Xenopus tropicalis: one gene and its partners. The protein of the gene in region 1 purifies or fractionates together with the protein of each later gene. This does not show direct contact. Links are inferred from orthologs where the notes say so. Each region holds a gene or a part of one and is shown in the gene's direction. Other genes may lie near its edges.

Evidence for each region.
Region 2: the proteins of cul4a (region 1) and dcaf11 purify together in Homo sapiens (affinity purification with mass spectrometry; 13 studies listed by BioGRID and IntAct, counting the BioPlex papers as one, with this or other methods). This does not show direct contact. The link is inferred for Xenopus tropicalis from reciprocal best matches to the Homo sapiens genes CUL4A and DCAF11.
Region 3: the proteins of cul4a (region 1) and rbbp7 purify together in Homo sapiens (affinity purification with western blotting; 4 studies listed by BioGRID). This does not show direct contact. The link is inferred for Xenopus tropicalis from reciprocal best matches to the Homo sapiens genes CUL4A and RBBP7.
Region 4: the proteins of cul4a (region 1) and dtl purify together in Homo sapiens (affinity purification with western blotting; 15 studies listed by BioGRID and IntAct, with this or other methods). This does not show direct contact. The link is inferred for Xenopus tropicalis from reciprocal best matches to the Homo sapiens genes CUL4A and DTL.
Region 5: the proteins of cul4a (region 1) and wdr5 purify together in Homo sapiens (affinity purification with western blotting; 4 studies listed by BioGRID and IntAct, with this or other methods). This does not show direct contact. The link is inferred for Xenopus tropicalis from reciprocal best matches to the Homo sapiens genes CUL4A and WDR5.
Region 6: the proteins of cul4a (region 1) and grwd1 purify together in Homo sapiens (affinity purification with western blotting; 4 studies listed by BioGRID, with this or other methods). This does not show direct contact. The link is inferred for Xenopus tropicalis from reciprocal best matches to the Homo sapiens genes CUL4A and GRWD1.
Region 7: the proteins of cul4a (region 1) and ambra1 purify together in Homo sapiens (affinity purification with mass spectrometry; 11 studies listed by BioGRID and IntAct, with this or other methods). This does not show direct contact. The link is inferred for Xenopus tropicalis from reciprocal best matches to the Homo sapiens genes CUL4A and AMBRA1.

Annotation. Positions count from the first base shown.
Region 1 is NC_030678.2:116,032,313-116,036,878, reverse strand, and holds the start of cul4a (cullin-4A), read left to right. Parts: upstream 1-1,595; 5' UTR 1,596-1,614; intron 1,615-1,649; exon of another isoform or gene 1,650-1,745; intron 1,746-1,772; exon of another isoform or gene 1,773-1,880; intron 1,881-4,566. UniProt on the Homo sapiens protein: Core component of multiple cullin-RING-based E3 ubiquitin-protein ligase complexes which mediate the ubiquitination of target proteins. As a scaffold protein may contribute to catalysis through positioning of the substrate and the ubiquitin-conjugating enzyme.
Region 2 is NC_030677.2:139,463,179-139,466,944, reverse strand, and holds part of dcaf11 (DDB1- and CUL4-associated factor 11), read left to right. Parts: intron 1-1,037; coding exon 1,038-1,095; intron 1,096-1,539; coding exon 1,540-1,725; intron 1,726-1,806; coding exon 1,807-1,960; intron 1,961-2,729; coding exon 2,730-2,882; intron 2,883-2,974; coding exon 2,975-3,081; intron 3,082-3,766. UniProt on the Homo sapiens protein: May function as a substrate receptor for CUL4-DDB1 E3 ubiquitin-protein ligase complex.
Region 3 is NC_030678.2:94,690,580-94,694,948, reverse strand, and holds the start of rbbp7 (histone-binding protein RBBP7), read left to right. Parts: upstream 1-1,311; 5' UTR 1,312-1,406; coding exon 1,407-1,422; intron 1,423-3,319; coding exon 3,320-3,464; intron 3,465-4,185; coding exon 4,186-4,331; intron 4,332-4,369. UniProt on the Homo sapiens protein: Core histone-binding subunit that may target chromatin remodeling factors, histone acetyltransferases and histone deacetylases to their histone substrates in a manner that is regulated by nucleosomal DNA.
Region 4 is NC_030681.2:14,742,411-14,746,176, reverse strand, and holds part of dtl (denticleless protein homolog), read left to right. Parts: intron 1-75; coding exon 76-137; intron 138-807; coding exon 808-928; intron 929-1,075; coding exon 1,076-1,141; intron 1,142-1,381; coding exon 1,382-1,497; intron 1,498-3,766. UniProt on the Homo sapiens protein: Substrate-specific adapter of a DCX (DDB1-CUL4-X-box) E3 ubiquitin-protein ligase complex required for cell cycle control, DNA damage response and translesion DNA synthesis.
Region 5 is NC_030684.2:8,199,303-8,203,748, reverse strand, and holds the start of wdr5 (WD repeat-containing protein 5), read left to right. Parts: upstream 1-1,384; 5' UTR 1,385-1,427; coding exon 1,428-1,508; intron 1,509-3,262; coding exon 3,263-3,371; intron 3,372-3,444; coding exon 3,445-3,518; intron 3,519-3,837; coding exon 3,838-3,927; intron 3,928-4,446.
Region 6 is NC_030683.2:114,831,673-114,835,888, reverse strand, and holds the start of grwd1 (glutamate-rich WD repeat-containing protein 1), read left to right. Parts: upstream 1-1,258; 5' UTR 1,259-1,278; coding exon 1,279-1,522; intron 1,523-1,945; coding exon 1,946-2,063; intron 2,064-2,633; coding exon 2,634-2,799; intron 2,800-3,629; coding exon 3,630-3,843; intron 3,844-4,011; coding exon 4,012-4,154; intron 4,155-4,216. UniProt on the Homo sapiens protein: Histone binding-protein that regulates chromatin dynamics and minichromosome maintenance (MCM) loading at replication origins, possibly by promoting chromatin openness.
Region 7 is NC_030680.2:13,029,293-13,033,503, forward strand, and holds the start of ambra1 (activating molecule in BECN1-regulated autophagy protein 1), read left to right. Parts: upstream 1-1,228; 5' UTR 1,229-1,465; intron 1,466-4,211. UniProt on the Homo sapiens protein: Substrate-recognition component of a DCX (DDB1-CUL4-X-box) E3 ubiquitin-protein ligase complex involved in cell cycle control and autophagy.

The DNA of each region.
Region 1 (4,566 bases):
AGGTGGGCCGGATTTGGCCCCCGGGCCTTGTGTTTTACATAAATGTCTTAGTGCTTATGCAGAAAGTACTTTGGACTGGTGCAGGCCAGCCCTGTTCTTAACACTTTTCATCGGGCAAGCAACTAGTACAGGGTCCAAGTGTGCTAAATCCAGTCTTGTAGGATAAGCATCATCTTCCAACAATTATTTATTTTATTTTTTTTAACTGGGTTAACATTTACACTGTTTCCAGTTAATACAGACACACTGTAGTTTGACAAAAGGGTGTTCAATCAGAATATTACAACTACAATGAGTTAAAAGTGACAGCATCAAACACTGAGAAAAAATTCTATACTACTGTTTAAAAAGGGTAGTTTGCCTTAGAAACCGTTTTTCCATTAATTTGTTTTCACGCACATCGTCAACAATTAGATTGTTTAACTTTTTGTAAGATTTAAAGGGGTGGTTAACCTTTAAGGTAACTTTTAGTATGTTATTGAATGGCCAATTCTAAGCAACCTTTCAATTTGTCTTCAATATTTATAGGTTTTTTTTTAATTATTTGCGGTTTTCTTCTAACCTTTTGTAGCTTTCAGAAAACTATTGCCCTGTGAGATTACAATTTTGTTATTATTACTGAATAGGTCCTCTCCTATTCATATACCAGCCTCTCATTCAAACCACTCCCTGGTTGCTAAGGTAATTTGGACTCTAGAAACCAGATAGCTGCTAAAACCAAACTCAATTCAAAACTGAACCACCCCTTTAATTTTAAATGTAAATCTTTTTATATAGTATTTTACTGTAGTGCCTCAAAATCAAGATGCAGGCTCTCTACAGTGTTACAATTTGCTACATTTGTTGCTTCATTTCTAAGAAGACTAAGAAGAATAAGATGGAATGTATCAACTGTTAAAAAGGTTGCATAAATACTATATGCATTGCCATGAGCAAAATGTGTCGGCAATGAATTTTAATGTAATGAATGCCAGCACTCTAGGATTAGGGAGAGAATTGGGGAAGAGTCCAGACTAAGACCATAGTAGTAACTTTTTTTTGTGAAATTGGAATTTTCTGTAGAGTGGTAGTCCTAATACAAACTCAAAAGTTTAAACCAGAAGTGAGTGTAAAGAATAGAAAGGAGTAGCAAATACATATTTCGATAACAATTATTTAAAAAAACTTTTTTTTCAATTTAAATGTATTGGAAAGTTGTGTAGGATTACATTTTCTCACATTACACAAAATGACAGTTTTGGACTGGTCATCCCCTTTGCAGAACTTCATCCTTACTGTGAAGACTACTGTCCTAAAGCCTAAAGCATTAAACACTGACCAAGAAACACGTGAGTTTCCATTCAAGCGCGCAATACAACCTGCCCAGAGATGGTGTCATGTACTTACCCTGAAAATAAAAGCAAAACATTCATATCTTAACAACAAATTAAGTAAGAAAATTGCATTTCGCTTTCCTACACAATTGTGCTCCTGCAAAGACAAAATTACTCTCGCTTAACTCCCCCGGAAACCGGCTATTGTGCCCCCTGACCCGGAAGTGACTGTACATATTATCAGCGGCTAATGCCGGTGATAGTTCCAGCCGCTATATGGAACGCCATTTTAATTACACAGGTAACCTCATAAATGTATGTTAACATTTCACTCACTCTGTGGCATATCTCTCAATTTCCATTCTGACAGCAGCTTTCTCAGGTTGTTTCATAGTGGGCGGGTCCTTGATGTAAACCGCAGCTAGACACGCCCCTTCGTGACATCATGTTCTCTTTTCCACTTCTTGGTCACGTGGCTGTGACATCACATTTGCACTCAATATGTTTTTTTTAAGACTTCGGGATCACCTTTAAACTGCTCCTTTTCCGGAAGTCGAGCGTTTGTTTGTAAGTCATTGCTGCAAAGAAAATCAGCGGCAGCTAAAGAGTCCTGGGGGATATGTTGTGTAACATTACTAGCTGCTATTTTGATTGTAATTGTGGGTGATTGGGCCGGCCTTGCCCCCCTCCCTGCTACATCTATGGGCCCCAGGCGGCTGCCCCAGCCGTCTCTATGTGTTTATTTGTGTTTAACAACTCTGTAAGCGCTAGCATTCGTAGTTGCAGGACCTTGGTGCCTTTAATGGCCGCTGACCTCTGAAATTTAACAGTTTCTGAAAAGCCTCACATTGTTGATCACTTGTGCAGCAGTACTTGGCTTTGGCGTTGAGGGCTAGGTGATCACCTAAAGAAGGAAGTCATGGGATCTGTCCAACCTGAGGCACCTCTGCTCGTTTTAATGGGGATATCCTCATATAAATTGTTTTTTTCCCTAATAATGCCATGTAAAATATACTTTCCAGTTTACATTAACATTTCAAGTTGTTTTAAATGTATGTGCTATTTAATGCAATATCTGTGTGTCTCTTTCTGTTGGCTGATATTGACTCCTGAGCCAGTGTAGCAGGTCAGTTTTCTAAGTCTATTAAAAGACATGTCAACCCAAAATAAATGTTGCCTAATAAAATAAAACATAATTCTAAGCAACCTTGTAATATGCATTCATAACAAATTTGTAATGGTTTTTAAGTTATTTGTAGATATTATTGCTATTGTCCTTTTCTATTCACTGCCCAGGTGGCTGTGGCTTTTGAAACAATATAACATAATCCAGCAGATAGACAGACCTGTCTTGCTGAAGGAGACTGGCTTTTCAGCATTGTTTTTAAAAGGCATAGCCACCAGTTAAGCAAATTCTGCCTTCAGTTGTACTTACAAATAACTTTTAAAGCACCAAAAACATTTTAATAAATTCATATTGGTTGCTTAGAACTATGTTTTTTTTTATTAGCTTTAATCCGCTGGTTTCTGCTAGATAGTTTCAGCAGAAGTGCCATGGTTGATGGGCACAGAGTAGTGACAGGCAGACCAGTGCACCAAAACAGTTAAGAGCAGAAGCGCCTATATCTGCTATGTGTATGTTAAACAGGGTGCTTGAGATTAAGAGCAGTGACAGGTGGAGATGGGTATTTTGACTGTGACTGTTCTCCTTCAGAGAGTAACAGTGGCGAAAATGCCCTATGTCCTATTACTTTCTCCTGAGTCTTCTGGCAGGCTGCAAGGTCTGTCACCGTTTTATGTACATTCAGAATGGAGCCATACACGTAGCAATTCTAAACTTTCCTGCGACCATCGGTCGTTTCGTTGATCCACCATACATGCATCGAATGAGGTTTCGTACAATATCATCTGTGTGTGTATGGCCAGCTTTACATTCAGTTCTGCCAGGAGGGGATGGACCATTGGACTGCAGCTATTCTGAGGGCACCAATGATCAAACACCTCTGTGCCATTAGTCTTAAAGGACATGGAAAGGCAAAGTCACTTAGGGGTGCCAAAATGTTAGGCACCTCCAAGTGACTTTAATCGCCTACCTTTTACCCCGGTCTGGTGCCCCTGTTGGGAGAGAATAGCACCAGCCCGGGGTAGCTGCATCGCTTCCTCCTTCCTGATCGCTTGCGCGCACATGCACAGAAGAGTGAAAAAGCTGAACTTTAACAAAGAAGTCGACTTTTCACTCTACCGCGCATGCGCCTACCGCATAGTCGCAGCTAAAAGTAGCAGGAAGGAGGAAGCGCATCACTCCACGTACCCCGGGCTGATGCTGTTTTCTCCTAACAGGGGCACCAGCCCGGGGTACAAGGTAAGCGATTAAAGTCACTTGGGGGTGTCTAACATTTTGGCACCCCCAAGTGACTTTGTCTTTCCTTGTCCTTTAATGTTGAACAGCAGCAGGGGAGCAGCACATAGCACATCCTTTAACTGTGATGGTGGTCTTTAATATCTCCTGTAATTATAGATACTTCTCAAGGGACAGTGGATATAGTTAATAACAAGCATCAGGTCTTTGAACCAATAAACACACTTTAGGGGCAGATTTATCAAAATGTGAAATTAGAAGTTTACCACAGAAAAATTCACCCACTTTCCATTCATTACTTTTGGGATTTTTAGAAGCGTATTTATCAAATAATGTACTTTTCCCATTGATAAATACACTTATTAGTGTTGTTGAAAAAACCTGCAGAGTGCTGTGAACTAAGCATTACTGGCACTCAGGCATTGAAATCATTTTTAAGGCTGTGCTCCTCTTTTTCCATTACATAGAGATTAGATGTAGATTTGGAGCTTTTTGTAGGCTTCCTTATAGTAATGTAGTTATTACCTTTTGTTTTTGTACAGCTGTGAAAAGGGACACATTAAGTGGAGTGGATGGGAGGACAGGCATATTGGAGCAGTAAAGTGTGTTGGCATGAAGATCAGCATCTTTATTATAGTTCTGTGACACATGGGGAGATTAGTCGCCGTGCGACATATCTTCCTTGTCGTGGGTGACTAATCTAAAAAAATGTAAATTGTAACTAAAAACTTTCTTAGAAAAGGACATTCTATAGCATACAAAAAGTTAAAGGTGTAACCAGAAACATAGATTTACTTATTTGCACCCCTAAATAGAGATTAGTTAGCTGTGTTAGAAAGATAGTTGCTTATATTGGCCCAGTCTTGTTCTGTAAGGAAATGAATGTTAGCTAAA
Region 2 (3,766 bases), on another chromosome or scaffold:
CATTACTTAATGAATGTGTAATTGAAATAAAAAGTCTTTGCAGTAGATACTCTGTGATGATGTCCAACATCCCCATTACAGCAAACCAACCACCGCTGTACAGACCTCACTTTTTGCATGGGGACATTATTGTGTTGAAACAGGGCCAAAAGGGCCTTCCCAGACTATTGCCACAAAGTAGGAAGCACAGACTTGTCAAGGTATTTTCTGCTTAAACACAGTTGGCATTACACATTCTGGCAGGTAGCATTCTCTTGACATCTGCCAGACCCAGCTATCAGTCAACCAGATGGTAAAGGTTAAGCCTCGCTCCAGAAAACACATTTCCACTTCTCCAGAATTTAAGGAAGGCACCATTTTATTCTATCTCAGCTGCTGCTTGGCATTACACATGGTGGAGTCATGCTTGTGTACAAATGCTTGCCCAAAAATCTCTCATGCTCATCACTATTAGTTTTTGTAGCTTCCATAGACATTTTGGAACTTGGCAGAGCCTGTTCCAGTTGAAGATATATTATTTTTAAAAAAGCATATCTGGATATACATGTATAAATGCGTTGCTTGATATGTGGGGTTGAGTGTTGTATTTGTTAGAGATGTAACAGCATTTCAGTATATAGTGCTCATTTTCCCTTTTGGTGTATGGGAAGTTGTCATTAGATGCACTGCTAAAAGGGTGGCAACTATACATTAACAGGACAAATTACTTGTGCTGAGTGCATGTAACCTTTAAATACCTTATCCCCACTTTTGGTACAGGTGATTAAAAAGAAAAAAAGCTTTAAAAAAAGGGAATCAAAATGTTTAAGAGAATCCTAAATAATTTAAGACAAGGGTCATTACAGGTGCAGTTATTCCATCAGCAGCCACATGTCATGCAATCTGCTAAATTCTGTCCTGCAACCAAATCTCCCTGTTGCTTCAGAAATGTCATATGTATGGCCAGCTTAATGTGCATTCTGTGTTTCGGGTGGTACCTTATAACAGACTTGGCATAGTGATCTATCATGTACAAGCTTCTTTAACTGTTTTCACAGGGCCAATGATAGATGTGTTTATGTGTACGACCGTGAGCAGAATGTTCGAACGCTCAAGGTATAGTTTTTTGGGGGTTTTATCTATTTGAGCCCTCTTCCTAATGCTTCCATTTATTTATTTATTTTAGTTTCATGCTTCCATCATGACCATCCAGTCTCTCTGTTCCTCCTCTCTTTTCTCTTATGACTTTTTATATATTATCTATATCAGGTCTAAGTCATTAGAATACAGTGGCTGAAAAGGTTTGGCTGTTGTAACGTAAAATATAAAGACCATAAACTATAAAGGGCCCACTCTGAAACGTATCCATTAGTATAGCGGGTTAGTGATGATATGCCACTCGTCGTATCCTTTTATTGTGTTTATTTTACCTTTATGCATACAGCCACTCAATAACCTCTATATATTGTTACTCTTATTACCTTTTCTGTTTTTTCATCTATGCTGACTCAAGCTCTCTTAATTTAAAATCTTCCATGTCTCACTCTTCAATCTGTTTAGATTGTTTCCCATGAGGACGATGTGAATGCTGTCTCCTTTGCTGATGACAGTTGCCATATAGTCTACTCAGGGGGCGATGATGCGTTATGTAAAGTGTGGGACCGCCGAACCATGCGAGAAGATGATCCCAAACCAGTGGGGATATTAGCTGGACATCAAGATGGCATCACTTTCATACATAGCAAGGTAAGCTCTATTCTGGCTGTCATAGCCTTTTTTCCACACATCATACATTTTGTTTTGTAATAAACCACTGTTTTTCTTCAGGGGGATGCTCGTTACTTACTATCCAACTCAAAAGATCAGAGTATAAAGCTTTGGGATATCAGGAGATTTTCAGGGCCAGAAGGACTTGAGGCCTCACGAAGGGCAGTTACTCAGCAGAACTGGGACTACCGCTGGCAGCAGGTTCCCAAGAGAGGTGAAAACTTGTTCTAACCAAGATGCTTGGATATTAAAGATATGTATACTACAGATGCTACTGACATGCACTTGCCAATAACAGAAGGCACAGGGTGCAGTGGGTGTTTCTCTGTTGTCTCTGTTTGACAAGGGCTTTAGGGTTTTTTTATATATTGTTATTGGCCCATTAAGAAGCCCTACTCTGTGTATTAGGGCAGTGGCACATGGGGAGATTAGTCGCCCACGATAAATCTTCACAGTTGTGGGTGACTAATCTCCCCGACATGCCATCCCACCAGCGACAATGTATATCGCCGGTTGAATGGTACACACAACTTCCTTGCTAGGCAACTTTGGGCGACCGAAGTAATGCGTATACCATCCCACCCGCAATTTACATTCTTGTCGGTGGGATGGTATGTCAGGAAGATTAGTTGCCCGCAATAGTGAAGATTTATCGTGAGCGGCTAATCTCCCTATGTGCCACTGCCCTTAAACTGATACTATTTTTTATGCCACCAGATACAGGCAGCACATCCTACAAATGTTATTTCTTTTTAATGAATTCCTTCCTTTGCTTTACAAAGCCAGAGTAAAGGTGGCCTGTAGCAGTTTGCCTGTAGCAGTTGTGCTGGAATCTAAACACAGTTGCCCTCCAGTTACGTGCAGTGTATTAGCAGCCACAGGGCATTAGTGTGGGGTATTTTCCCATAGAGTCCCCTCAGTAGAAAATATTGCTCAATTCTGGTTTTCTGTTACATAACTTTTTGAGGTATGTTTTTTTCTAGCTCTCAGGAAGAAACGTTTGCCAGGAGACACTTCCCTAATGACATACCGGGGGCATGGTGTCCTACATACACTGATTCGTTGTCGCTTCTCTCCTGCATACACCACTGGCCAGCAGTTTGTGTACAGTGGCTGTTCCACAGGTCGAGTTGTAGGTGAGTGCAAGGATTTAAATAATGCACATGATTTGCAACTGTTTTATGTATGATGCAACTTGAAATGTGTTTTTTTTTTTTCTCTTTCTCAGTTTATGATTTGTTAACGGGTCAGATAGTGAAGAAACTGACAAATCACAAAGCATGCGTGAGAGATGTTAGCTGGCATCCATGTGAGAACAAGCTTGTCAGCAGCTCTGTGAGTAACATAGGGAAGATAATGGGAGATATAAACTTTACATTAGGTTTATTAAAGCTTAGATGTATAGCAAAAGAGAGACTTCCTCTGATTAATCCTGTATACTATCTGCCTGATTGTTAAGAACACTGCCCTTAATTGTTAATAGTTTAATGCTGACTATGTTATAAACTTGATGTGAAACCTGGGGTTATACCCAATGACTTACGGATACAGATGCAAGTCCCGACTCTTGCACATTACAATCAGTGCCCCTAAACTGGAATCTAAATCTCTAGTACACCAGAACTTGCTAGTGACTTCAGAAGAAATCCAAATATGGTATTACCACTGTGCAAATCTAAGTATTACATCCCATTTTAACCACAGACAGTTGGTTTGCCTGGAATTGGACTACATTTTTTTTGCTGGTTATAAACCTTGGAAGCTTCACCATTTTGCGCTTCTTTAAGTCTAATATAGAGTGGAAGACATTTGAGCTTCTTGAACTTTCAAAGCTTTAAACAGAAGACAAATTGCCCCAACTAGTATTCTATAAATACCTGCAGCAAATGGTCAGGGCAGATGCAGGTTTTCAGGGAGGACACTTTAAGTCAACACTTTCTCTGGTATGCCAAGACTTCAGGCTCACCTCTCGCTATCTGTCTCTGTGGGGAAAAATTGGTTTGTTAGATGATGCCATGAA
Region 3 (4,369 bases), about 21 Mb from region 1:
TAAAAGGGCCTGGCACCGCCGCATAAGGAGAGAAGTCGTAGACGAAGACAGAGCGCCTATGGGGTACTGTGTATGGGGGGCTACTATGTATAGGGGGCACTGTGTATGGGGGGGCTACTGTGTATAGGGGGCACTGTGTATGGGGGGGTACTGTGTATGGGGGGGCTGCTGTGTATGGGGGGCTGCTGTGTACGGGGGCACTCTTTATGGGGGGTTACTGTGTATGGGGGGGCTACTGTGTATAGGGGGCACTGTTTATGGGGGGCTACTGTGTATGGAGGGACTGTGTATGAGGGAGCTACTGTGTACGGGGGACACCTGTGTATGGGGAAGCAAAACTGCTACATAGTTATAACTCACTTATAACTGATTGCCTTCTCTCTATATTTGTATTTTAATGTTGGAGTTGCTATATTGTTTTCCTTAGGTAGTACAGTATGAGGGTATAGCACATTTGCGTCTGATCCCACCATTTCATCTATATAAAAGGAGTATTTCTTTTTAAAATGGGGTGTGGTAATTGGGGCGTGGCAACAAAAATGGGCGGGGTCAAAATTGCCTCCAAGTCTTTTTGTCCCTCTTTTCATTTTTCAAATGTTGGGAGGTATGCTTAGGGTAGCAAACCAGTAAAAAATGACATTTAAAACAAGCATTACGAAGGTGGGCTTTTACTTCCAGAAGAGATTTGCACCCTAGCCCATCCAGGCTATCCTGCTATATCTACGTTTTCCAGAACACAACACCAATTGAGTTTTCCTCTTTCCTATTAATCGCAACCCTATCCACTGCCAATTTTGTAGGCTAAGCTGTTAAACCCCGAGGTCTGCGGCACTGAATACATTTCGTTCTGATAGTGGAAGATAGCAATTCTAACGATCACGAAGCTCCCGCATCCCTTCGGCTCAAGCTTTTGAAAACTCTATCTTCTACATTTCCCTAATGAATGCTGCTCCACTGCTTGAGAACGGGAAGGTTCCTACTTAAAACAAATGTTATCGGTATAATAGGTTCATACTTCCTACAGAATAACTACCTAAAATTATTACAATTCACTCCGCACATTAGGAAAAAAAAACACGCTACTACTTTACGCCATGCCAAAATTAAACATGGCCGCGAAACTTTCGGCCTCCCCGCCTCCTTTTACGTAACCAGGTTATTTTCCTCTGATTGGTCAGCCTTGTCCTAGCGTTTGGCGCTAGCCCTTGCGTAAGCGAAGGCGACGGCGGCGGCGTGCCTGTCTGTAACTTTGGCGGGGGATGTTGATGCTGCGTCACTGGTAGTCTTTCTTCTTCTTGTGAGTGTTTGGCGCGGGAAGCTGCAGCAGGACCGGCACAAGCGCGGAACACTGGGTTTTTAGTCACCGCGAGGCCGGCGGCCCTTGCATCTGCACAGGAGTAGAGAAGATGGCGAATAAAGAGAGTAAGTGGGCAGAAAGCTGCTTTATGAGCACGTTTTGGGTTTCTAAAGGGACGGTACTGGGGATGCAGGCATGCTATCCGGGTGCTACCGATTATGACACAGTTTTATATTAAGAAGCTGTGGCCGCTTTGTTTACTGCACCGCTTGTGGTGTGTATGGGAGGCATACCGGATTCTCTTAGGCCTTATCCTACCGCGTAGGCTTGCTGGCTACGGTCCCTATTGCTGGCCTGTAAGGCTCTGGGCCCTCAATTAGAAGAGGGAGTTTATAGTTTGGCACTGTAAGTCGCTACATTTAGTTCCACTACAAGCCAGTTGCCAGGCAGTATTAAAAAATGTAAGATGGGGGATCGACAAAGTGATGAGAATTTTAAGTTAAAACACATTTAGAAATGTAGGTATTGCCTTGTGTAAAGTTGGACTGATCTTTCTTGGGAAACAGAACCAGAGCTTTCTTACTTGCACCACAATAAATGTATGGCATGTGTAACTTTGGTCTGACAGGCCAGACGGCATCAGATACGCTTGTCTGGTGTCTGGTGAAACTGGTAGAATTCTTCACAGGCTGCACACACCTATTCCATCTTTAAACATTTCCTTACATTAAATCCTCCTGTTCTTTTGAGTGATTTACTAATGAGTAAGGTATCGGGCAAGTTTTTTTTTTGTATGGAATCATTAGAAATGTGTTCCTTGTGCCTGAAGTTGTAGAAGTTTCTGCGCCTACAGGGGCAAGTGTGCCTCATAAGCAGGCAGATAGGTTTTTGAGGTGCTGTGGCTCTTCCTTGAGGGCCCATAACTGTTAAACATGCACAGGGCTTGGGCTAGTGTCAGATGATCAGCATCTCAAAATAGAGAACACAGTACAGTTATCCAAAATGCTTGGTACCAAGGGTATTCTGGATAAAGGATCTTTAAGTATTTTGGATCTCCATACTTTGTCTACTAAAACAATCAGTAAAATATTAAATAATCCCAATAGGATTGTCTTGCATCCAATAAGGAATAATTATATTATTATTATGCTCTCTTCACCTCTTGTATTGGTTATTTATTGCTTTATATGTTACTCTGTATGTCCAATGTATGAAACCCACTTATTGTACAGTGCTGCAGAATATGTTGGCGCTTTATAAATAAGTGTTAATAATAATAGATCCCATACCTGTACAGGGTTCTCCTATGGTTACAGTACAGGTAGATAAATGCCAGCTGATACTGATGAATGTTGTGATAAGTGTTCCAATAATCACTTTATCTTTTTGTTAAAGGGATAATGAACTTGCGGTGTGTCTTGCTGGACACTGGCTATATGGGCACTGACTGATGTTATGGTGCATCCTATAGATCTGGGTCTGCCCAGCAAACCAATGCTGCTTTCTTCCAACCATGCTAGTTAATCACCGGTGCCACCTACTCCACTTGGTGTAGCTGTTCCGTCTGTGTATTCAGAGAGGCTTCAGATGGGGTTTTTTTGCCTTCCTCTGGATCAGCTAGTAGTTTGGCAGGTTATATATAGGCATTATGGTTGAACGTGATGGACGTATGTCTTTTTTCAACCCAACTTACTATACTATGCTGTGTAGTTCTTATTTCTGGTAGAGCACAGTGGGGAAAATATGTCACTCAAATGATGTTGGATTAAGTTTACTTAATAAATTATCTGATGTTTACATTGAAGCAACTCTGGTTCAACAACAATACATTGGCTGCCTAGTTATACATGCACACCTTATGCAGCATGTAAATGTTTACAAGCAATCAGTGCTGAGAGGTTTGTTAACAGCCAAGTTTTTGTACGTCTGTTTGACCTGACTAAGCAATTTAATGGTTTTTACTGAATTCAAACAGTAATGCATTCTATTCTGAAACATTTTATAATTTTTTTTTCTCTCTAGTGTTTGAAGATACAGTGGAAGAACGTGTCATCAATGAAGAGTATAAGATATGGAAAAAAAATACCCCATTTCTGTATGACCTGGTTATGACCCATGCACTTGAATGGCCAAGTCTAACAGTTCAGTGGCTCCCGGATGTGACTAGGTGATTTTTTATTTTTAAATTCATTTAATAGCAAATTTTAGTTGTTTTACATGATATTTAAAGCATGGTTAACACCTATTGCATTTTAAATACAACATAAGTAAATTGAAAATAAAAAATGATTGATGAACTTTGTATAAAATACTTGTGAAAAAAAACTTTAGTTCCTAGTTGTTGCTCTGTGCTGCAACCAAATACAATTGTAGAAATGCAAAAAATAGGAAAAAAACTTCAGCAGGTTTACTGCAAACCAGTTATTTTGGGTTGTGGTAACACGACATGTTTCGGGTCAATACCCTTTATCCTGCTGAAGCTTTTTTCCTATTTTTTTGGATTTCAACATTATTAAATTACCTAAGGAGCTGTGGGTAGTATCTAAGATTAAAAAATCTATATCATACTTAACAGATTGCCGCTGCCTTTAAATTTTATTTTCTAGATCAGTGCTTATTTTCAGCAAAGTGGGCCAAATATCTAACATTAAATTTTTAGGGGCTTAATTGTATTAACATTTTTCATCTTGTCTATGTGTACTGTGTATACTGTATACAAAGCGCAACAAGAAGCAAATTACATTTGCACATATTTATTAAGTGAACAGTATCCGTACCACAATACTTATATCTTAATTCCAGTACTAAATTTGCTACAAAATAAGCAGACTTGTCAAATGAAAAGGAGATATATTCCTGTTTTGTTTTTTTTTGTTTTTTTTATATAGACCAGAAGGAAAGGACTATGCGCTGCACTGGTTGGTCTTAGGTACTCACACTTCAGATGAACAAAATCACCTTGTAGTGGCTCGTGTCCAGATTCCCAATGACGATGCCCAGTTTGATGCCTCACATTATGATAGTGAGAAAGGAGGTAGATGAAAATGTTTTAAATATATCATTTTAGTTAAT
Region 4 (3,766 bases), on another chromosome or scaffold:
TGTGCCCAATGGTGCATGTAATAGTTCATGTATTCATTGTTAATTAATACTTAATGTTCCATTTATCATTCCTAGAATTCATGGCGCACACTAATGCTGTTTTTGACATTGCCTGGGTGCCTGGGGAACACAAGCTAGTAAGTTGAACTGCATCTCTCCCCATGTCTGCCATTTGTTTTGTCTAATTACACTTGGTCTTTTTCATAACTGGCTGCTTTGCATGGTTACTGATAACTCTTAAATATAAATCTGCTAGATTAGAGCTGGTAGACTTTGTGCCTGCATTATTTCTGGTGCTGTATATTTGTGGATTTTTGTTCCTTCTGTAAAGTATCATTAAAGGGCCCAAAAGATGTATAACGCAGAATATCTAAAGATCTACTGTCTTTCTCATGTGTCCAAAGCTAAGATGTTGGGCATTTTCACCTGCTTAGTTTGAAAGTGGGCAGTTCTATTCCTCATCGCCAAGGAGGCCTCAGAATGATAAGGATTGTAGCCAAACATATGTTGAAAAATATATGTTGACAAAGAAGGGGTTGTTAACTTTTAGCATGATGAAAAGGCAATTTGCAATTGATCTTCGATTGAAGGTAGACTCTTAAAACTATATTGGCTAAATAAAGCTGTGTTTAACTGCAAATCACAGTGCAATTTATTGCAATCTCACACACATGCAGTGGGCGGTACATTCTGTGCAGTATGTTATGCAATTACCAGCCCTACTCTTCCTGGGCTGTTTGTATAGAGCATGCATAACAGGAACAGTAATAGCAATTCTCTAATATCCTCACCCTCCCTCATGTTTAGGTTACAGCTTCAGGGGACCAAACTGCAAAGCTGTGGGACGTGAAGGCTGGGGATCTGATTGGAGAGTGTAAAGGACACCAGTGCAGCCTGAAGTCTGTTGCCTTCTCAAAATTTGAGAAAGGTAATGTACCACTTTTCTTTCTGCTTTACCAGTGTTTGTATTGAAACCACTGTCTTTGTACCACTGTTGATATTGTATTCTCTTTAGGGTGTAAGGTCACCCAATCCCATTGCCTTGATTGTTACATGCTCTGTTATTTTCTTCTAGCTGTTTTCAGTACTGGAGGAAGAGATGGAAACATCATGGTGTGGGACACTAGATGCAATAAGAAAGGTATGTTTAAAATCTGTATCTCTTATATAGCATACTATAAATCTGTGGGAGTTTGTGCGAAATATATTTCCTTGCCTATTAATTCCAATGCATAACAACACTTGGAATTGCTCAGTGCCTTAAACTAAGCTTCAGTTTACAACTGGGAAAATGCTTATGAATGTGAATGCAGGCTTACTATGCTTGAAATACAGAAACTGGGTTAACATTGGAGTGTTTTTTTGTTTTTGTTTTTCCAAGATGGTTTTTACAGGCAAGTGAACCAGATCACTGGTGCACATAATGCCCTTGACAAGCAGACCCCTTCCAAGGTGAAGAAAAGGAAGCCTTACGTCAGAGGTCTCGCTCCTTCAGTGGTAATACATCATCTCATTAAGTCCATTACAAGCACCAGTATACTGACATGCATGGGAGCTATATAGGTCACTTGACATATACTCAAGTGGGTATCCTAAACAGGGATATTCAGCTCTTAAAAGTACAATCCAAAGAAATCATCTGTAAATGGATTAGAGAAGTTGTACAGCTCCGATACTTAGGACTGATAATAAGGCAATAACATTAGCTAATATGTAGTTCTGTAACCCTGTACTAAGCAAAGTTTAATAGAATAGGGTAAAATGACAGTTAAAGTTATGGGGGGTTAGATTTGGAAGGTATTCCAAAAGCCCCATCCCCTCCAGTCCACAGTAAATCTGGCAAGGGAGAACTATCAGTAGAGTGCCACACACCCATAATCATAACTATTTGCTTGCCCTGGCCAGTTTAGCGAAATATTGTAGCACAGCAAAACACTGGTAATATAGTGTGGTGGGGCAGCACTCTACTGAAGTGTCCCCAGGAGACCAAGGTTGGCAGTGAATTTGCCTTTAGCTGCTTCCATGCTGGATTGTATGTAATTATGCCACTTAAGTGTTAAAATATATATATATATAATATAGTTCAGTTTAGTGTGAGATTGTTTTTCTAAAGATTTTACTAACCAAAAACAAACTATTGTGTATAGTACTATTGAAACCCCTGCTTTATTCTGTACAGACACCTTTTGCTTCAATGACGGCTTGTTAAAGAAAGATTAAAATAACAAATGCTAGCCCAAGCCCCTTCGAACACCATCACTAAGATCACATCCATGAATGAGGACATAATTACTGAGGTATCCCACATAACTAATATCTTTGCACAATACTACAAACAGCTTTACACCACTGAAGCCAACTATACCCCACTGCAGCTATCAAACTACATGGATACCATCCCCATCCCCCGATTATCCCCACTACTTAGGGCCCAACTCAACAGTCCCATCACACTAGTGGAGGTACAGGAGGCAATAACCTCGCTTCAACCCAATAAAACACCAGGCCCAGATGGATTCCCTGCTGACTGGTATAAGACATCTGCAGAACTTATCTCCCCCTGGCTCCACAAAACTTTGCTTGACGCAACAGAAAATAATAAACTACCTCGCTCCTTTAACACGGCCCTTATTGTGGTCATCCCCAAAGATGGTAAGGACCCATTGGATTCTTTGCAAAAATCCTCTCTAACAGACTGAAACTAGTAGTTGAGGAACTAATTGAGCCTGACCAAACAGGCTTTATGCCAAACAGATCCACCAATATAAACATCTGTAGGCTGTTCACTAATATCCATGCCGACCACACCAACAAAGGTTCCCGTGTAGTAGTCTCACTTGACGCAGCCAAAGCCTTCGACTCCGTCGAATGGCCTTATCTCCTGAAACTCCTTGAGAGGTTTGGCCTGGGTGAGCAGTTTGTTAAATGGGTGGGAATGCTATATGAAGCACCAACAGCAAAGGTTATGGTAAATAGACACCTATCCCCAGAGTTCTCTCTAGCTAGAGGTACCCGGCAAGGTTGCCCACTGTCGCCCCTCCTATTTGCCCTAGCAATAGAGCCCCTTGCCATTCTGATCCGACACTCTGCAGCCATAACAGGTCTCAAACTGGGGGCTGTGGAGGAACGCGTATCTTTATATGCTGATGATGTTTTACTGTATTTGGACTCCCCTGGTGCCTCACTACAGACAGTCCTAGGCATAGTCCAAAACTTTGGGCACTTCTCCGGCCTGCGAATCAATTGGGAAAAATCCAGCGTATTCCCCATAGACTCAAATATTGATCCAAATATCTTCCCTCCTACTCCCTTGCAGTGGGTTGACACATTTAAATACCTGGGTATCCAAATAAGAAAAGAGCTGAGCGACTTCATCCCCAACAACTTAGACCCCATCCTTAAAGCCATGAAAGAGAAGCTGCTGGTGTGGGCCAATCTCCCCTTATCCATCTGGGGTAGAATCAATCTGTTAAAAATGATATTCCTTCCTAAATTTCTCTATATTTTCCACAACTCACCTATTTCCATTCCACCCAAATTTTTTGCCTCTCAAGATAAAGCACAGACTGCCTTTCTGTGGGCCAACAAACCTCCCAGATTCTCCAGAGCCAAACTTAGAGCACCAATCACGGAAGGCGGTCTAGGTCTCCCACATTGGCAATTTTACTTCCTAGCAGCACAGGTCTATTACGTCCAATGGTGGTTCTCCCCAGATCTCACTAACCCCAATGTTCCACTCCAGGCAACCTTAGCTAGCTCAATGGAG
Region 5 (4,446 bases), on another chromosome or scaffold:
AATACCCCCCCATACCTTTATATCTCCTCTCTCATACCCCCCACAGATACCCCAATACCCCCCCATACCTTTATATCTCCTCTCTCATACCCCCACAGATACCCCAATACCCCCCCATACCTTTATATCTCTCTCTCATACCCCCACAGATACCCCAGTACCCCCCTTACCTTTATATAGCCTCTCTCATGCCCCCAGCTACCCCAATAGCCCCCATACCTTTCCTATATATCCTCTCTCATGCCCCCAGCTACCCCAATAGCCCCCATACCTTCCTTTATATCCTTTCTCAAACACCCCAGTTACCCCCATACCTTTATATATCCTCTCTCATATCCTCAGCTACCCCAATAGCCCCCATACCTTTATATCTCTCTCATACACCCACAGCTACCCCAATAGCCCCCATACCTTTCCTTTACATCCCCTCTCATACCCCCCAGCTACCCCAATAGCCCCCATACCTTTATATCTCCTCTCTCATACCCCTACAGATACCCCAATAGCCGCCATACCTTTATATAGCCTCTCTCATACCCCCACAGATACCCCAATAGCCCCCATACCTTTATATAGCCTCTCTCATACTCCCACAGATACCCCAATAGCCCCCATAACCTTTATATCTCCTCTCTCATACACCCACAGCTACCCCAATAGCCCCAATACCTTTCCTTTATATCCTCTCTCATACCCTCAGCTACCCCAATACCCCCCATACCTTTCCTTTATATCATCTCTCATACCCTCAGCTACCCCAATAGCCCCAATACCTTTCCTTTATATCCTCTCTCATACCCCCAGTTACCCCCATACCCCCCCATACCTTTATATATGCTCTCTCATACACCCACAGCTACCCCAATACCCCCCATACCTTTCCTTTACATCCTCTCTCATACCCTCAGCTACCCCAATAGCCCCCATACCTTTCCTTTATATTCTCTCTCATACCCCCAGCTACCCCAATAGCCCCCATACCATGATATATCCTCCCTCATACCCCCACGGATAGCCCCCATACCAATATAGATACTCTTTTATACCCCCACAGCCAGACCAATAGCCCCCATACCTTTATATATCCTCTTTTTTTAACCCCACAGCCACACCAATAGCCCCCCATACCATTATATCCCAAACAGCCACGCCCCCTCAGAAAGGTCTCCCTATTGGCCACAATGTTTCCCCAAAAAATCTACAGCCCCACTACTGCCTGTACTGTTACACAATGCTCACACGTGCACAATAGGAGAACCCCATACCACATATAAATACATTATTCTGGAAAGGCTTCTGGTACAAATAGTAGTAAATAAGTAATAAATATTGCTAATTATGTCCTTTTCTTTGTTTACAAACACCTAGCCTGCATAGTGGGAGTGGCCATCTGCTAACTCAAGGGGCCCCATTCCAGTTCTTGCACCATGGCAACAGAAGAAAAGAAACCCGAAACTGAAGCTTCCAAGACGCAATCCACCCCATCCTCGTCCAATAATCAGAGCAAGGTTGGTATTCTTCTACATGTGGAGCGGCCAAGATGCTTCCAGTAAGGCTTTGGGTGTTACTTTTGTGTGAAATCCAGCAGTTATGGATCATTAATCCTGCTTATAAAGGGTAATGTTAAAGGGGAAATATATCCGCCTCTGGCTTTTTAAATATACCCTTAATATAAAGGGCCTCTTATAGGTGGGTAGTGTAGTAGGGTTATAGGATCCAAAGGGTTACATATTCTTTTCCTACTTAAATATACATCTTAGAAAATTAACTTTTAGTAAGAGGTCCCAAGAATTGGCCATTCTGTAACATACTAAAAGTTAAAGGGGATGTCAACCCAAGATAAAATATTGACTAAAGAAAATGTATTTTCAAGCAACTTCCCAATATCCATTCATTCCCCATTCTCACTGGGTTTATAGTTATGTGTAACTGTCACTGTGTCTGTCCCTTTCCCTTCCCTGCACTGCTGGTTCTGACTCCTGATACAACTCCCCAATACCCATTCATTCCTCATTCTCACTGGGTTTATAGTTATGTGTAACTGTCACTGTGTCTGTCCCTTTCCCTTCCCTGCACTGCTGGTTCTGACTCCTGATACAACTCCCCAATATCCATTCATTCCTCATTCTCACTGGGTTTATAGTTATGTGTAACTGTCACTGTGTCTGTCCCTTTCCCTTCCCTGCACTGCTGGTTCTGACTCCTGATACAACTCCCCAATATCCATTCATCCCTCATTCTCACTGGGTTTATAGTTATGTGTAACTGTCACTGTGTCTGTCCCTTTCCCTTCTCTGCACTGCTGGTTCTGACTCCTGATACAACTCCCCAATATCCATTCATCCCTCATTCTCACTGGGTTTAATAGTTATGTGTAACTGTCACTGTGTCTGTCCCTTTCCCTTCTCTGCACTGCTGGTTCTGACTCCTGATACAACTCCCCAATATCCATTCATTCCTCATTCTCACTGGGTTTATAGTTATGTGTAACTGTCACTGTGTCTGTCCCTTTCCCTTCCCTGCACTGCTGGTTCTGACTCCTGATACAACTCCCCAATACCCATTCATCCCTCATTCTCACTGGGTTTATAGTTATGTGTAACTGTCACTGTGTCTGTCCCTTTCCCTTCCCTGCACTGCTGGTTCTGACTCCTGATACAACTCCCCAATATCCATTCATTCCTCATTCTCACTGGGGTTTATAGTTATGTGTAACTGTCACTGTGTCTGTCCCTTTCCCTTCCCTGCACTGCTGGTTCTGACTCCTGATACAACTCCCCAATATCCATTCATCCCTCATTCTCACTGGGTTTATAGTTATGTGTAACTGTCACTGTGTCTGTCCCTTTCCCTTCTCTGCACTGCTGGTTCTGACTCCTGATACAACTCCCCAATATCCATTCATTCCTCATTCATATACTGAAATATGGCAGTAGATCCTCACCCAGGGTTGGGAGTTTTATGAATTTAAGTTGAATTGTTTCTGGTTTCTCATGAATACGTTCGACTCAACCAACTTTTGGGTACTTTCCAATACGCGGCTCTGATGTTTGTAGAGAGATGAAATATAGGGGGTGGGTGCTGAATGTGACAAATTTCAGGTTTGTGCAGCGGTTACATACAACATGGCTGCCTGCCCTGGGGGCTCCCTGTCACTGTAGGGGGCTGTTTTTTATTTTAAAACTATTGTTTCCCCCAACTCTCTGCCTCAATGTCTGCAAAATACATTTCTGAAATCCCCATTTTTCTCTTCTATTCATAGCCTGCACCAGTAAAGCCAAATTACACGCTAAAGTTCACCCTCGCCGGACACACCAAGGCCGTATCATCTGTAAAATTCAGCCCGAACGGGGAGTGGCTCGCCAGTTCATGTAAGTGACATTCCACCTATCGTTATGTCTTTGCCCTAAAGAAACTACAGTGTCACTTTTTTGTTCTTTTCAGCGGCCGACAAGTTAATCAAAATATGGGGGGCGTACGACGGCAAGTTTGAAAAAACCATATCCGGCCACAAGTTGGTAAGAACCTTTTGTTGTTATTGCTCGCGTCTAGCCGGTGTTGAATTCCTGTAGCACCATATATTTAAATTCCACCAGCGTCTGCTTCGTGTAACATTAAACCCATACTGTTTTGCACCTTATCCCCCCAGCGCCGTGCAGCAGAAGCCAATTAGAGTTTGCATTTGCCAGACACCTCCCCAGGGGCCTCCCTAATTTATAGACGGGCTTGGGGATTTCATGTGTTTTAATTTGGCACTGGTTAAGAAATATAAACCCCCTTAATCAAATCCGATTAGTGAAACTTTTATTTATTTATTCTTTTTATTTTTATATTCAGGGAATATCTGATGTCGCCTGGTCCTCTGACTCCAACCTCCTGGTTTCTGCTTCTGACGATAAAACTCTAAAAATCTGGGACGTGAGCTCGGTGAGGCCTGATTGACTTACCGTTGGGAAGAATATGTTTTTGTGTTTCTTCATTGAGGGGTAAAATGATAACACAGGATACATTCCCTATTTCTCTTACATCATGGGGGACACAGGAACAGCCTAATTGCCTCGTTAATCCAGTGGGCAAACGTGGCCTTGGTAGTAGGCAGAGCCTCTCTAGAGGCTAGGCCTAACCTCCTGTCCACTTAAAAAGCTGAGCCCTGTTGGCTAAGCAAAAGGGTTAAAGAAAAGAGGGAGGAGCAACAGTTATGACATCACTGCAGTGTCCTGCCTCCTGGTAGGAGGAGCCCTTTACCCCACTCTTCCTGTGTCCCCCTAACGACTATAGAGAAAAGGATTTAACGGTGTGTATATAAATCTTCCTTATTGAAGGTGAGTCCATATTACCCACTGCTTCCATCGGAGCTATCAGTGGTGAAACTAGCTATACAGCAGACCCAGCGGTCACGGGGGGCCTGGGTGACAGGGGGGCCGTACTGTGGGGTCTGCTGTATTG
Region 6 (4,216 bases), on another chromosome or scaffold:
CCCATAGAAAGTACCCCCTTACACAATGCCCCCATAGTAAGTGCCCCCAATTGCCCCCATTCACATTAGCCCCCTTACACAGTAGCCCCCATACACAGTAGCCCCCATAGACAGTACCCCCATACACAGTGCCCCCCATAGACAGTACCCCCACAATAAAATTTTTACATTTTGCTCTCATAAGGAGCACTGGGGACCTCTCCACTCCCTTTGCTGATTTACAGATTATCACCCCACTCCCCCATAAGGCTATCCCAACTTGACTACTGTAACCTGCTGCTAACCAGCCTCCCTAACTCCCATCTTTCTCCCCTACAGTCTATATTAAACACCGCTGCCAGAATTCTCCTCCTCTCACCCAGGAGAGTTCAGGCCCTTCCCCTGCTAAAGGCCTTATTGTGGCTTCCTGTTAAACAAAGAATAGTTTACAAACTCCTTCTCTTAACCTTCAAAGCCCTCCATTCCTCTGCCCCTCACTACATCTCTTCCCTGGTGTCTCCGCACGTTCCTGGCCGACTCCTTCGTTCCTCGCAGAGCAACCGTTTGGTTGCGCCCCCAACTACTACAGCTGTTTTCCGCCTTAAACCTTTCTGCCCTGCTGCCCCTTACATTGGGAATGCCCTCCCTGATTTCCTCCGGAGAGAATCCTCCCTCAGTCTTTTTAAAACTAAACTTAAAGACTCCCTTTTGGAGCACTCACCCAGCACCTGATCTGGGAACTGGCACTTATATTGTAGTGTCACCCACTGTGACCTACAGCACTTATATTTGCCTATTTGTATCTGTAAGTTCCCCTCCCATATAGATTGTAAGCTCTACGGGGCAGGGACCTCCTTCATCTTGTGTTTCTGACTCTTATTGCAACTGCACCTTGTATTTATTTGTATTTATTGTTGTACTTTGTATTTATCCATTATCTTTAACCTCCTGTCTGTATTAATGAATAACCTACTGTACAGCGCTGGGTACATAAGTAGCGCTTTATAAATAAAGATATACATACATATACAAGAAGTATTGCTGCTGGTCTTTAATATATAACGGCCGCCTTAATTGCAAACCATTCTGCGTTTAGTTCTAACAATAGCAAGTAACTAATTAGCTAACGTCTGGAGTGTCTTGTTGCATTTTATTATTGGGTTTATGGGTAGATTTTTACATCTACATTCTGTAGAGACCGCTGCACATCGCCTCCATAGTAATGGCAAGGCGTCAGCGGAAGTAGGTTAGAACACATGGCAGACGAAGCCAGAGGAAGTGACGTCGCCCGATTCCAAGATGTCAGGCACTGGGGAAACCACATGGAGAAATCCCGCAGAGGATGAGGAGGAAGATGAAGGTATGGAAGAGTCGGGCAGCGAGGATGAAGATGACGAGGGTGATATTATGGAAGAAGAGGAGGACGATGAGAAGGACAAAGGGCCCAAGCGGGTCTATTTGCCCGGGATGGAGCCTCTTAAGGAGGGAGAAGAGCTGGTGATGGACCAGGAGGCGTATGTACTGTATCACCAGGCACAGACAGGTAACGCTCCCTTCTGCTCCCCGGTGTTGGGATCCCTTATAGGGGAGCGGTCGGGCAGGGAGGGGAGCGGCGGGAAGTTCAGCGCACAGTCCCGGGCTCTTTAAAGGGCAAGTTACCATGCAAGCTTACCAGCCTGGTCATTTTATAATGATATCTTTAATATATGTTTATAAGTATATAAATAATTCCAACGTGTTCCACAGCACTTTCCATAGGTTATATCTACAGTTATTAGGAATGACTTAACTTGCCGGTATGTGTTGGGGGAGGGGGGCACAGGGGGAACATGCAGATAATGCCCTGGCTGGAATCAAACCTGGGACCCCAGCAATGTCAACTACAAAACTATACTACACGGTTGTCTTGTAGTTTTTTGCTTCTTTGTATGAAAATTAAATGGTTTCTTTTTTTATTGTGTTATAGGTGCACCATGTTTAAGTTTTGATGTCATCCGTGATACCCTGGGGGAAAATCGCACAGATTACCCGCTGACTATGTACCTCTGCGCTGGTACTCAGGCCGACTCTGCTCAAGGCAACAGGTACTAGAAATAGATTATGTACAGGGGTACATAAGCATCATCTGATTTTCTAAGTCTCAAAAGTAGATGAAGAAAACCTCGTTTAACAAATTGATCAATTATATATGGTCGTGTATTTATTGGGGGAAAAAAAAGAATGCAATAACATATCTGCAGTAACATATAATATCAAACATTTGAAATGAACCCCATAAGGCTGCCCAGCTGGGGGCCCACTAGACTTCCAAGTGATTTTTATGGCTCCAGTTTGCCAAATGGCTTTTTGACATTGTCATTTTACTATAATCTGGCCTTTGACCAACACTTCTTTGGCCTGTAGTTCATGCAGTATCAGACTGACTGACTGTCAATATCTGACTGACACTTAGTAGGCAGCTGTTCATTTTAGCAGCTGTAAAGCAATTACTCAAGCCAAGGTCTGCAGAACAGAACTGATGTCTTCTGACTTTGGTCAAGTTGTCTTGTCTTTGTATCTTTTATTCACCAGAACTTACTGTCAGTTCTACAGTACCTGAGAATCCACCCAGCCTGTATAAGGAAGTGTAACTCTTTTTCCTCTCTTTCTTATAGGATGCTGGTAATGAAAATGTACAATTTGCACCGTACAAGCAAGGAAAAGAAAGATGATTCCGATTCTGAAAGCAGTGACAGTGGCGAAGAAGAGGACGAGGAAGAAAAGAAGCCTCAGTTAGAGCTCGCTATGGTGCCTCATTATGGTGGCATTAATAGAATTCGCGTAAGTCGGGTTGTGTTCTCATATTTGTTTTTGTCTTTATAACTTTGCCATGTTTAGGAAAAGATATACAGGTATGGGACCTGTTATCCAGAATGCTCAGGACCTGAGGTTTTCTGTAATTTGGATCTCAGTAAATCATTTAACCATTAAATAAACCCAATAGGGCTGTTCTGCCCCCAATAAGGGGTAATTATATCTTAGTTGGGATCAAGTACAGGTACTGTTTTATTATTACAGAGAAAAGGGAATCATTTAACCATGAAATAAACCCAATAGGGCTGTTCTGCCCCCAATAAGGGGTAATTATATCTTAGTTGGGATCAAGTACAGGTACTGTTTTATTATTACAGAGAAAAGGGAATCATTTAACCATTAAACCCAATAGGGCTGTTCTGCCCCCAATAAGGGGTAATTATATCTTAGTTGGGATCAAGTACAAGCTACTGTTTTATTACAGGGGAAAAAAGGAAATAATTTTTAAAAATGTAAATAATTTGCTTACAAGTCTATGGGAGATTGCCTTCCTGCAAATTGGAGCTTTTTGGATTACAGGTTTCCTGATAGCAGATCCTATACCTGTATACACTAAACTAGGAAGTGCTGCCCTATTGCGACCTCTGCTGTGGTATACAATACTGTTGTTAGTAGTTTTATTTGTAAATGTCAGACCTGGAATGCTCTGCAACATTAAAGGGAAACAAAATGTTAAAAAAGTGATAATCTAATATATATTTATATACGAGTAGATCCATATATGTGGTATACAAGCAAATGTGAGCTTTTAACTACTTCTGTTTGTTATATTATCATTGGTTTGTCTCTGCTTTTAGGTATCTACAATGGGGGAAGTACCCGTGGCTGCTGTCTGGTCAGAGAAAGGGCAAGTGGATATTTATGATCTAAGGAAGCAACTGTCGGCTGTGTCAGACTCTCAGGTGCTCGCTGCTTTTCTGAAGGAGGAACAAGCCAAAATCAAACCAGTGTTTTCTTTCTCCGGGCACATGACCGAAGGGTTTGCAATGGATTGGTCTCCAAAAACAGCAGGTACACCATATCAAAGTTATCCAAAGTTTAAGCCTCAAATTCCCATGAGTTGTTATTGATTATAAAGGCTTGGTAAAAATGCCTAATGGTACATGAGCTGCTTTTAAAGGTTAAACATCAATAGTTTGATTCACTTAGTCTTCTACTTCCCTTTCACTACCTCTTTAGGGCGCTTGGTTACTGGTGACTGCAATAAGAACATCCATCTGTGGGATCCAAGAGAAGGGGGAACGTGGCATGTTGACCAGAGACCATTCACGGGCCATACTAAATCTGTTGAGGATCTTCAGTGGTCTCCTACAGAAGCCACGGTAAAGAACATACACTGTCTTATAGTTATTCTAGTGATTGTAATTTCTTTCGACCTGCGACC
Region 7 (4,211 bases), on another chromosome or scaffold:
TACCCAAAGACTACAGCCCCATACACTGCTCATATTGTAAGCTCTTTTGGGCAGGGCTCTCTTCACCTCTTGTATCGGTTATTGGTTGCTTTATATGTTACTCTGTATGTCCCATGTATGAAACCCACTTATTGTACAGCGCTGCGGGATATGTTGGCGCTTTATAAATAAATGTTAATAATAATAATACTATTATACCCAGTCGTAAGGCCCATACATACAAACTACCCATTCGGGACAAACACATATCTAGCTGTAAAGTTTGGGCACACTGCCCATATTATACCCATACATGACTGCCCATATTATACCCATACACTGCCCATAATATACCCATACACTGCCCATATTATACCCATACACTGCCCATATTATACCCATACACTGCCCATAATATACCCATACACTGCCCATAATATACCCATACACTGCCCATAGGAGATCTAAATATACAGCCACAACACACTGCCTATATTGTCCCCAAAATAAAGCACCCCCCCACAGCCCAAAAACACACTCCCCATATTATTTTAAGACACCAAAACCCCACTGACCCTTTATTAGCGCCCCTCTTGGTAGCGCCATGGGTGAGCTGAGGGCACAGACTCTTCCTATACTCATGGTTACAGTTACTTTCTCTCCATGGAAGTCCTTGTCAACTTCACTATCTGAAAAAATATTTCAAAACACTTGATTTTCCCTTGAATCTTTACAAATATATCAGTACATGCTGATCATGTGATCAAACCTCATGGGTCAGAGCTTCTCACCCCTCCCCTCCCTGTATTTGGTAGCTCTCCTATCCCTTCTGTGTATGTATTTCAGACAAACTGCTACTTGTACCCAAGGTGCGCCCCGTCCATGATTTATTTATAACAATAAAGTGTTTAATATACTCGTTAAGCCTACGGGACGAATAGTATCATGGGACAGATTGCACCTTTATTATAACATTAACCCCCGATCTCTTACAATCAGTACAAATAATATCCCGGCTGGACCCCCCGCCCGGCCTGTTCCCCGCTAGTTCCGCCGCTGGCCGGTTGCTAGGAGATTGTCTCTCACCAGCGGAACGCACAATTACCTCTTCCTTCTCCTGACAGCTCTCTCGGCGCTCGGCTAGTTAGCCTTCTCCATGCCCCGCCCTCTGATTGGCTGACTTTTGTTCCTTGTTGGACGCCCAATCGATGCGCTCAGAAGGGATCCGTTTTTGTTTTCGGTGGTCGCTTGCTTCGGTCTGGCGGCCGCCATTGCCCGGTTCGCTGCTATACTCTGGCTTCGTCCCACCGGATTATCTTTCATTTATTTCCTTCGTAGCCCTCGGCCGTGCTTGTTCAGTCCGGGGCACGGTAGTTTTTCTCACACTCTGGGACCCAGACGCGGCCCTGACAGGCCTCATTCCCACATACGGGCTGGAGCTCAGGCCTTATCCGCCCGAGAGGCGATTGCCCAGCTGGCTTTATAGGTGCGTATTTAGCCCGGGCTCATGTAGCTCTGGGCACAGGGGAGGGAACAGGTGGCATCAGCGCCATGTTACCCACAAGCAACTATATGTCTCTTTATATATATATATATATATATGTGTGTGTGTGTGGCTCTCATATGGGAGCCTTTCTCTGCCTTCATAATATTGTGTATACATTGCTATACTGTACTTATATTATTATTACTACTACATAGGAATTCAGCATTAACCTAAAGTATGTGTGTAATGTGTCTGCTACATTCTAATACTTAGCTTTGTGAATATATAATACACACAGACCATACCCTGGAACCTATATACTTATTATTATTAATTATATTATTATTATTATTATTAATTATATATATAAAGCGCCAACATATTCCGCAGCGCTGTACAATAAGTGGGTTCATACATTGGACATACAGAGTAACATATAAAGCAATCAATAACCGATACAGGAGGGGAAGAGAGCCCTGCCCAAAAGAGCTTACAATCTACAAGGAGTGACATATAAAGCAACCAATAACTGATACAAGAGGTGAAGAGAGGTGATGTGTAACTGGGGATTTAAGATGTAATTTGTATTCTATGATTTTAGAAGTAAGGGTATAATGTACCCCCTACTGTAAATAATAAGGATATTAGAAGCTACTGAGGGGTTCTGTGCCCATATAAAGGCACAAGGCTGCAGGCTGAGTTATACAGGGAACTCTGAGTATCACTCATGTATTATAAGGGATAATGTACCCCCTACTGTAAATGATAAGGATATTAGCAGTCACTGAGGGGTTCTGTGCCCATATAAAGGCATAAGGCTGCAGGCTGAGTTATACAGGGAACTCTGAGTATCACTCATGTATTATAAGGGATAATGTACCCCCTACTGTAAATGATAAGGATATTAGCAGTCACTGAGGGGTTCTGTGCCCATATAAAGGCACAAGGCTGCAGGCTGAGTTATACAGGGAACTCTGAGTATCACTCATGTATTATAAGGGATAATGTACCCCCTACTGTAAATGATAAGGATATTAGCAGTCACTGAGGGGTTCTGTGCCCATATAAAGGCACAAGGCTGCAGGCTGAGTTATACAGGGAACTCTGAGTATCACTCATGTATTATAAGGGATAATGTACCCCCTACTGTAAATGATAAGGATATTAGCAGTCACTGAGGGGTTCTGTGCCCATATAAAGGCACAAGGCTGCAGGCTGAGTTATACAGGGAACTCTGAGTATCACTCATGTATTATAAGGGATAATGTACCCCCTACTGTAAATGATAAGGATATTAGCAGTCACTGAGGGGTTCTGTGCCCATATAAAGGCACAAGGCTGCAGGCTGAGTTATACAGGTAAGGGAAAAGGGGAGAATGGTTATTCTCTATATGTAACATCTTTATAAACATACAAATATGAATGTGTATAATTTAGGGGTGCACCGAATCTGGGATTCAGGGTTCGGACGAATCCTAAAATAGTGGATTTGGTGCATCCCTAGTATATTTTCATTAAAATACGATCCTTTGCGTCCATATAGGGCTACATACAGACGGGCACTTATTAATGCCTTTAATGTATATAAATGGGTCCATTGCATTAGTCATAGATGTGTTATTTAAACAGCACTTGCCCCTGAGCCCCTTTTCCCCCATATTAAAAATAATCCCACCCATGTTGGGTGCTTGTGCTTGAATCCAACCCACCTTGAAGCCATAAGCTGTTAGTATTGGGACCTTACATATTGTGTAGGATGAGCTATCTCCCTATTAAAGTTATCGTAGGTGATCGTTCAAGTGTAGGTATGGGACCTATTATCTGTAATGCTCGGGACCTGGGGATTTCTGCAAAAGGGACCTTTCCATAATTTGCCTCTCCATACCTTAAGTCTAGTAAGTCATTTAAATGTTAATCCCAACAGGATTGCTTTGCCTCCAATAAGGATTCATTATATCTTAGTTAGGATTAAGTACAAGGTCTTATTATTACAAAGGAAAAGGAAATCATTTTTAAAGACTAGAATTATTGAATTAAAATGGAGTCTATGGGAGATGGCCTTCCCGTAATTCAGAGCTTTCTGGATAATGGATCCTATACCTGTATTAAAAAGAATTCATTGGAACCCAACTCCAAGCAGCATGGATCCTGAAGTACAGTTACAAAAAACTGACTGTATGCTAAAATATATAGCTATCAATATATAGAAATAATAGCCAGAGGGGCCATAGTGTCATCTTACTATGGAAAATATTTTCTTTGTGACACTGGGCAGCATGGGTAATAGTAGAAGTTGCAGTGATGTCTCATTTGCCGGAAAATCACAGCCAAGGTAATGCTCACTTGAACCCCATTTTGGTACCCAAACCCCTTGGGTTTACCTATGCCTTCCTGGTATTCCTCTTACAGCTTATTATAAAAAAAAAGCATGCTATAATTGATGCAATATCCAGGGCACAATTGCCTAAGCATCCATGATTATTTTTGGGGGACATTTGTACTTTTACCTTATACAAAAGTAAACCCAATCAGCTGCCAGGAGCTTGGATACACAGTCTTGGTTATTATAAGAAGACTTTTGACCAACTCTCAAAGCGACTTTTAAAAAATAAATATACATATACTAGCAAGAAATGACAAGACTTCCATCACTCCTTTGTTAGTGTATTTGCTCTCAGTGTAAAGGTGCCCATACACGTTAAGATCCGCTCGCTTGGCGAGGTCGCCAAATGAGCAGATCTTCTCC